2 linked regions of the Solanum lycopersicum genome follow. The protein of the gene in region 2 interacts with the protein of the main gene of each other region in a biochemical or structural test. Links are inferred from orthologs where the notes say so. Each region holds a gene or a part of one and is shown on either strand. Other genes may lie near its edges. The genes, in order: peroxisomal membrane protein PEX14 and peroxisome biogenesis protein 5.

Evidence for each region.
Region 1: the proteins of peroxisome biogenesis protein 5 (region 2) and peroxisomal membrane protein PEX14 form a complex in vitro, tested with the Arabidopsis thaliana proteins (2 studies listed by BioGRID, with this or other methods). The link is inferred for Solanum lycopersicum from reciprocal best matches to the Arabidopsis thaliana genes PEX5 and PEX14.

Annotation. Positions count from the first base shown.
Region 1 is NC_090805.1:46,438,701-46,443,101, reverse strand, and holds the start of peroxisomal membrane protein PEX14, read right to left. Parts: upstream 2,885-4,401; 5' UTR 2,717-2,884; intron 2,601-2,716; 5' UTR 2,581-2,600; coding exon 2,523-2,580; intron 1,782-2,522; coding exon 1,540-1,781; intron 1,438-1,539; coding exon 1,389-1,437; intron 1,283-1,388; coding exon 1,098-1,282; intron 475-1,097; coding exon 285-474; intron 111-284; coding exon 21-110; intron 1-20. Other genes in the region: uncharacterized protein, read right to left, coding at 3,587-3,706, 3,821-3,911, 4,076-4,151, 4,247-4,319. UniProt on the Arabidopsis thaliana protein: Component of the PEX13-PEX14 docking complex, a translocon channel that specifically mediates the import of peroxisomal cargo proteins bound to PEX5 receptor.
Region 2 is NC_090809.1:802,216-806,836, forward strand, and holds the start of peroxisome biogenesis protein 5, read right to left. Parts: upstream 3,110-4,621; 5' UTR 2,855-3,109; coding exon 2,741-2,854; intron 1,040-2,740; coding exon 911-1,039; intron 832-910; coding exon 675-831; intron 198-674; coding exon 4-197; intron 1-3. UniProt on the Arabidopsis thaliana protein: Receptor that mediates peroxisomal import of proteins containing a C-terminal PTS1-type tripeptide peroxisomal targeting signal (SKL-type).

The sequences.
Region 1 (4,401 bases), on a different chromosome or scaffold from region 2:
GAGCAAATGAAGAGGCACACCTTCCAGTTTCTCTATAGCACTTGTCATTGATTTCATCTCACGTACTTGATAGTTTAGCAGGCTTGTCAGCTCCTCAAAATACCTTTTCTCTGTGGAGGAACACAAGTTAAATCACAACATGATTATCGATGGTAAAAAAAAATAAGCACTGGATAAGAAAGAGGATGAAAGATTTAAGTCACCAATGTTGAACAATATTTCAGTTTATTTTATTTCAGATCCAGTTCTTAACTTGTTATTACATAAGAATTTACATTACCAACCTTCGGATTTTGATGCCAACATCTCCTGGCTTGCTCGGGCAACATCAGCAGCAGCAGCTGCTGCAGCTTTTGCAGCAACAGCAGCTTCTTCTGCTAAACTTGGTTTTCCCTTGACAATACCTTTTTCATCTTCTTCTTCATCCATTACAACCTTGCGTATCCAAGACTTCAACCGGGGAATAATAGATTTCTGCAAATGGACGTGTCACTTAACAGTGGGTGATAAATATAGTGAGTAGTCCATGAGAAAAGTTTCCAATAGATTGTCATAAGCACCAGAATCCTACTTTAGAGATGGATCTAATAAGATAAAGCATCGGAGGAGACCAAATAAATCTGAAGAAAATCTTCATAACAGGGATATTTATAATAAAGAAAGAAGGAACACAAAAGTCAGAACAGGGTTAACTAAAAATCTTCAAATAGTTCTTCAGTTAAGGTACACGCTTTTTTGAAATGACCTGCATCTAGAGTATATAGGCGTGGTCAAATTTTCCATCACCATGCAAGCTCCTCACATATGAGAGGCCAGAGTTACATCTATGAGATACCCATCATTAATCAAATACCACCTTTTGTAATTTGTATGAAATCATTAGGCTTTTTTTCTTTTCTTTTCTTTTCTTTGTTTCGGTCAATAAGTTCAACCAATTTACTAAACTAATAATAAACTGAACCACCACAAATAAAAGTTTGAGATGTCTCGCTTATGAAAAATAAATCTACACTGAAGAAATGGGGAATAGACAGAAGAAAAAGTACAATATGGTACGGATTGGCATGATAAATAGAAAGCTCTTTACTATGCAATACCTTGAAAAGTACAGCTGTTCCAGCTCCTGAAGCAGCGAGTAGACCTACAGCAATAACTGCATGAGTCCAATGGAAATGAGAGAGATACCCCATTTTTTTCATGCTATTGCTCGGAGCTGACGCTGGCTGCAGATTTTGTAAAGCAGCCTGTGATGTACTAGTCGATGAAGGCTTCTGTGTCCCATCTGTCATCAATATATCAGGACAACATGACAAGCATAGGCTCCAAACAGTATCAATCTCAAGAAAAGAATAAAAGGCCAAACTTATTTCGAGAACAATATGAATTACCTTCATTAGCAGCAACTGGCTGTGTGCTAGTAACAGTTGGGGTAGGATCCTGTAATTTAGGCACAAAATCAATATATATCTTAAATTTCATGTAGATATTACAGTTACATTTAAGACAATATCAAATGTAAAAAATCTAAATGTGGCTTACAGGAACTCGACGAAAGGCCTCGTCAATTTCCTCCTTTGTAAGCCCCTTCCTCTCAAGAAAAGAACGCCTATACATGACTGGAGATCCCCTAACTTTTGGATGTGAAAGAAATTTCATAGCATTCTGGACTTGGTCCTCCCGAATTGGTTCCGAGTTTACAAACACAGAAGCTGGAGAGCTCCCACTTGCAGCCTCAGGCTTGGGACCTTGATGATTTTCAGCTGCTGGTTGCGAAGCTGTTGCTTCAAATTAGAAATTTAAGCTTGGATTACGATATATCATGAAATTCTCTGTTGCTTCAAATTAGAAATTTAAGTTTGGATCACGATATAGCATCAAATTATCTATTTCATACAACATCGTTTCTCTTGTTGAGAGGGTTTGCTGGTGCATTCTAATCTATGATTGTGCAAAGCCTCGTAGAGAAAATTATCTAGTTAATGAACCTACCATCCTCAGAAGCCTCACACTGAAAACAAAATCACCTAGTTATCAATATGCACATTATATACAGTTACTGGATATCAAATCAATCCATTTATTTAAGAACATTAGGCTTAAACCTGTCATTAGTTGCTAAGGTAAATGTTTAAGAACACAGAAAAAACCTAATTATCTCGAAGATTTGCACTACACCAAAATCATACGGCTTCTAACAACACAAGCTACAGTATTAAACAAATGATCATTAGATGTAACAATATCAAGTTAGTACTACTTTATTGCTTAACAAACCAAAAGTAGCAACCATCCATAAAAGAAAAAAGAAGCACAATTACATGCTCCTATCCCAGTTAAAGACAAAAAGGCACAAACATCATAAAGTCCAAAAAGATTCGATCTTTATGGCAAATACTTCTTTTCAGATAACAAAGTAGCAGCAATAACTAAACATCACGATCTATTTCTGTCTGATATTCAAGAATCAACTAAACAGTAGCAGAGCAACAACTTTCATCAAAGAAAAGCAACTAAAAGGGTACCTGGATTCTGGGTATTCTCGTTTACGGAGTTGGGTGGAGAATCTGATTGAGACGCCATGTTATCCAACTCCTATTGAACTGAATTTCAAGAACAGTACAAGAAAAAGAACATGCCAAGATTAGAGGAGAAGAGAAGAAAAGGAAAAAAAATCCAAACTTTTTTTTTGTTAACATAGAAATAGGCACCGAATTACCTCAAGACGAATTGATTATTGATGATAGTATGTCAGAACCCACAAGTGGATTTTGCTCATCTCGAAGCAAATGCTATTACTAGCTTTTCTGTGTGCGAAATTGCTTATTGATATACAAAATAACAAGAAGACAAAACCCTTTGCAGATAACATGGCCCTCAAAGAGTCAAGCTCCTTTTTCTCTGTCTTTTTCTTTTTCATTATTTTTAGTCTAACACGTAACTGATAAAGTTATTATTACGTAGATAAAAGATTAAAACTTAAAAATGTAGTTTAGTGTAGCATGTTCCCTTTAGTCTTGAGAGCTAAAGTTGTGTGGTACTCTTACCTAGAAAATTATAAGAGGTAACATAATTTACCAATCATTTAAAAAGAAAAAAATATATTAAGATTTGCATGTTATAGTAACCTAAGGCAAAATAATTAAAAGTTCTTAGAAATCATCAAATATATTCTTGCTCCGCTTTCTCCGAGTTGGTGAAGGTAACAAGTACCTTGTTAAACGAGTCAAGGTCCATGCAGGCTGACACAGAAACCACAATAGAAAAAAGAGAGACTGATAAGCCGAAAAATGTAAATCTGTTTAGAGGGACAGAAGATTGATTTGAAGAATAAATACAACACCATGGACAAAATGTTTGCATGGACAATCAATTCTGCTAATAATGTTACATCTTTTCTCTATACTCTCACAAGAATCACATAAACAAGCAGGACGGTTTCATGAGTGATGAACTGGAAAGCCGCAGGCTAAAAGTCCATGAGGAAGAAGCTTGTGTAACATTTATGTTCCGCGGTCTGGTTACAATCACATTATCCATCACATCATTTGGCTGCTAGAGGCTATGTGGTCGAAATGCTAAATCCAGTTCAATTTACTCTGTCAAGCAGCTTCTCCACCATAATCTTTTGTTGCACTGAGGTCAAGGACTCAGAGTTCATTATTGCATTCGCAGCAAGGATGATTGACGATTGGTGCTCAGCATTTACCTATTACAGCAGAACAAGTATCTAAATTGAGAATAGAGGCAAAAGTATTTGAGACTTAGAAAGAGATGGACGGATCAACCACAATAAATAGAGAATGAACAGATTTATATATACCCACACACGGCCGTTTAAACCAACAGCTATCTCAAAAGCTAGCTTCTTTCCAAGACCTTCAAGAACTGGACATGTTGGTGAGCTCAGCAGCCTAGGAAAAAAATACAAAAAGATGAACATGTAGCTAAGGGAATAGCATGCAACAAGACCTTCAACCCTTTTTCTTGTTTCTATTCTGATGAGCAAGTTAAGGTTACAGTAAAATCTAAACCAAAGATTTCACTGTTGCAAGTGAAAGCCAAAATAGAAACTTACATCCGTGACAAACCAGTTGATGATTCAAACATATAGCCATCTTTAAGGGGTCCAAACTCGGCAGCTTTTCCAGAAGCTGTATCGAATAAGATGATTTTATTAAAATCAAGAGTAACAGCAGATAGATTAGGGCATTCAAGAAATTCTTTGCAACTTAGAGGAAGTACCAACCATCCATGCACGATAACTCTGGGTTTATTCCTGGGTTGGCCTTGACAATACGAGTATAAATTAGAGTACCTACCTGAAATTCCAAGACAGGTCATCAGAAAATAGTCATTGATATACACATGGTGCATTAAAAAAAATTGATTAAGAAGAATCCT
Region 2 (4,621 bases):
AACCTGTCCATTTATGAAGTCTTCAGTTTTATCAGCAAAAAAATGTCGGGCCATGATCGTGCTACGGTCCCGTATGCATTGCTTGTCACCTTCCGATAAACCTAATAATGGTAGTGAAGCAGGACGAAACGGAACACCACCATGACCGCTGTTGACAAACGAGTGCAGAAAGCTAGACAATACTTGTTGTGGAGGCCCTAGATTGGGGAAAAGGCAATCAAACTCATATGAACATACAACAAAGTTCATGAAATTAGTTCCTCATATCATACTATTTTCTTCACACATACTGGCAATCACCATCCACATAAACTTATCGATATTAACTAGTTATCAACAATAAAACGAAAGCACCAGGTTGGAAATGTGAAATGCCAACCAGGTACAAGTTCAATCATTTTCTCTGATGTGCCTTTTACCTATATGATCAACATATCGATATCTATCATGTCCTTTGAAAAGTTGAAGCACAATAAATGAACTCGTATAGGCTTCTCAACAATCAAATATGAGTATTCTCCATCCACGGTATAATTCACACACACATACACATACAGGATCCTTCTACTACAGTTTTTCATTGCCATATTGACAAATACACACAACAACCCATTTGCATATTAGTCGTGTTCAAATTCATAAAAGTAATGATTGAAGAGACTGTTTAGTGTTACCATTCAAATCGGGTTGAAGCCGAGCATGCTCCAAAGGGATGTTTGTCATGTTCTGACTTCCATGAGGAAAAGGAAGTTGAGGCCTTTGTATCTCATCCCAAGCATCAGCAAGCTTATTTTGATCAGCAGAACGATACCCTTGAAGGAATTGGGAACCCTGAGAAAGTTGAATTACAAATGAGTAATGCACTCAAAGTTGGATCCCTCACAACCCACAAGCATCTATATACATTAACCTGAATATTAGGCTGAAGTGGATGTTCAAACTCTGATCCTGGAAGCGAGACAAATGGCTCTTCAACACCCGCAAGGAAGTTGCCATTGGACGATGTACTTACTGATGTAGGGATCTCTTTTAGCCTCTCCTGTAAGAGAGATGAACCATCAATCAGGTTAATGCAAGTCCATAACACATCTACACACAATACACTTTGAACCTGAAATGTCTTTTTTTTTATGACAAGGGAAATCCGCAGCCGCTACCCTTTGGGTGCGCACAAGGTAAAACCCCCCTTCCTATTCAATAGCTCGCAAACCACATAGGAGAGGTAACCCACACTAGGCAAGTCCAGTGCAACGAGCTCGACCCAAAAGGCAAACCCCTTGCTTTCATTGGCAAGGGGTTTCGAACTTGAGAACTCCAACAATGGAAGTCCCAAGCCCAAACCACTGGGCGACCCCGAAGGATAACCTGAAATGTTATTTAAGCACTTTTGTCCATCTCAGGCTATTTCTGTCAACAAAATTTTTCAGTATAGATACATGTGTGTAACCACTACAATTAACAACTATGCTGATGCTAGTATAGACTAGACGTTAAGAGACGCCTATTCCTAGTGTAGAGTAGACATTAAACTAAACTACAGAAAGCTCCGCTAGGATTCACAATTAGCAAGTTAAACTAATTCATCAGCAATTTACTTGAAATGTGCATCAAACAATACATCCATTTCGGTCTGAAAGTGGGATAGATAACCTGCTTGCTTATATATGCTCCAAGATATCATAGTTATCAGTCACTTCCCAGTCATGAATCATTCAAAAGAGAAACCAAACAATAACCTTATAGAGGTTTACATAGTTGAGTATTTATAGGTACTTCAACCCAAATAAGTGGTCTTCCAATTAGAATGGACTACACTCAACTACATAAAGTTCTGCACATATACAAAATTAGCAAATTGGAAAAAGAATCAGCGATTTATAGGAATTCGGAACAAACAAGCAGCTAGAGGAAACACATGTAAACGAATTACTTCATGTATGAGATTGTATATCAAATAATCAATCAGTCAACTGCACCTTAAACACAATGATATATATCCATTTCCTCTTATTCAGTATTAATAAGCTGCTTGCTTATATGCTTCAAAAATATCACAGTTGTAACACTTCCCAATCATAAATTATCCTAAGAGCAATCAAACAATAACTTTATCGATGTTTTCTCAGCTGAGAATCTATATGTGCTTCAACCTATAGAAGAAGTGATGTGCCTATTGAAGTGGACTAAACTCAACTACACAAAGATCAGCACAGATTCACAATTAGCAAATCGAACTAATTAGCCAGCAATTTAAAGGAAATACACAATGTTGGTGTAGTAGTGCTTAAAATCCAACACATAACAAACAAACAGCTAGAAAAGCATTTGTGAATGAAATTCTTAGTGTATGAAACTGTATATATCAATAAATATACCGCACCTTAATCTCAGTTATATACATCCATTTCACTCTGAATTCAATATTAATAAGTTGCTTGCTTATATGCTTCAAAAATACCACAGCTATATAAAATAACCTTATCGCGATTTTCTCTATTTGATGCTTCACCGACTAAACTCAACTCAATCAGCAAATCTAACTAATTCGTTAGCAATTTAACACTGCGTAAGCAAACAAGTATATAGAAGACATGGATGAACAAATTTCTTCATGTATGAGATTATATATCAATCAATCAAGTACAATATAATCTTAATCACAATAACATACATCCATTTCTGTCCAAATTGAGTATTCATAAGCTGCTGTTTCACGAAGGAAGAGAGAATTACGATATACCTGAGTCTTAGATGATGAACCGATGAGTGCGTTAGCGAGAGCACCAAGTGGATTAGAAGAAGAAGAAGGTTCGCCACAACTAGGAGCACCGGTGACCAAGTCTCTCATCGCCATGACTTTGTTCGAGTTTTCTTCCCTCTTTTGTCAGTATTATATGATATTATACGAATTGTAGTCGATTGAAGGGAGGAGAGATGGTGCCGGCGGTTAAGAAGACGACGGTCGACGGAGGAGACGGTGAGGTGTAAAACTTGTTGTGTAGTGATTGTGTGGGAATATAGGGAAGGGAGTCGTGATTATTTGTGATGGACAGAAATTGGGGTTTGGTCGTTTTTATCGCTATTGGGAAATGTGACCAGCAGGCTATATAATTTGTTATTATTTAATAAATATTTTAAATACTAATTTTTTCTAAATATTTGGATTAAATTTCATTAATTGAAATCTTTCAAAAATTAAAATTTTACATCAAACTTTTACCATTTATTAAAAGGATAACTTTCACATATAACAAACATAAAATTTATATTTATATGTTATAGCAAAGTTTGCATAATGTACTCCATAGAAAACATATAAATGTATAAATTCGCTATACACATAAAATTGAAGCGAATTGTATAAAGTTTGAGGGTAATGCAATGGTGTTGGTTCCGATTCGACAAAGGTAGAATGCTTGGTCGAAGGTCCAATACAGTAGGTAGCAGGCGTGTTCGTTTTGGCTCCCGAGCGAGAACGATAAATAGGCGATGCACCATCCTTGCTGCTACGTACGGGTTCCTTGACTTGACAGATTCATTCAATTGAACGCACACTCAAAGGAGGACCACAAGCTTGGGGTTAGATTTTTTCGGTGTTCTCGTTGAAACACGCAGGCATGCTCCTTGCTTCTGGGGACATTAATCCAAAGCTCGAGTACGGTCCGTGTGCCGTTTTTCTTCTCTGAAAAAATAATAATTCCTAGTCCGAACTTTGGACCTGTTTCACACTTGAAAGAAGCAATATGAAAAAGTGTATAAAACGAGAAAGAGAAAGAGACTTGGACAGAGAATTGTATAATTATACACTTTGAATTTGTATAAAATGAGAAAGAGAGTAAGCATAAGAGACTTGGGCATGAAATATACAATTGAATCGAATTGTATAAAACGAAAAAGAGAAAGAGAAAAATTATATTCAATTTGAATTTGTATAAAACGAGAAAGAGATAAAGGTAAAAGAAACTGGGCAGGGGAGTATTTTTATTGTATAATTATAAGTATATAGAACGAAAATATATGTATTTGCATGTGTACATACAATTTTGTCTCGCTTTATACAAACATAAATGCAATTTATACATTTCGTTTCTATTTGTATAAGCGAGAGAGTCCAGGGTAGCGAGTGAGATTTGGGAGAGGGGAGAGAGGGCAAAAGTATATGTATTTATACAATTTCCTCTTACTTTATATAAATAGAAACAAATTTTATACACTTGTATTTGTATAAAAGTGAGAGGAAGCAAGCGAGAGATGGAGCAAGAGAGGAGAGTGGCGAGCAAGAGTTCGAGGGAGAGAGGTGACTGATAAACAGTTTGTTATGGGACACAATTAAATCAAAGGGTGGTTATAACAATTAATTTGATTTATTAGTTTGTCGTTTTATACAATTTTTTCTTATAAAAACACCCTCTGTAGTAATTGTTTGATAGTATTACATATTTTATTATGTGAATACTAAAATAGTGATGAAATATTTAATACGAATATGAAAGTGTTTATATGGTTGTTGATGAAAATGATGAACAATCGGCTCAAGATAAATAAAATCATGTGCTTTGTCTACTTTACGATTATGGAACAATGATGCTTGTTACAGTGACTCCAAACTATTATATTGCTC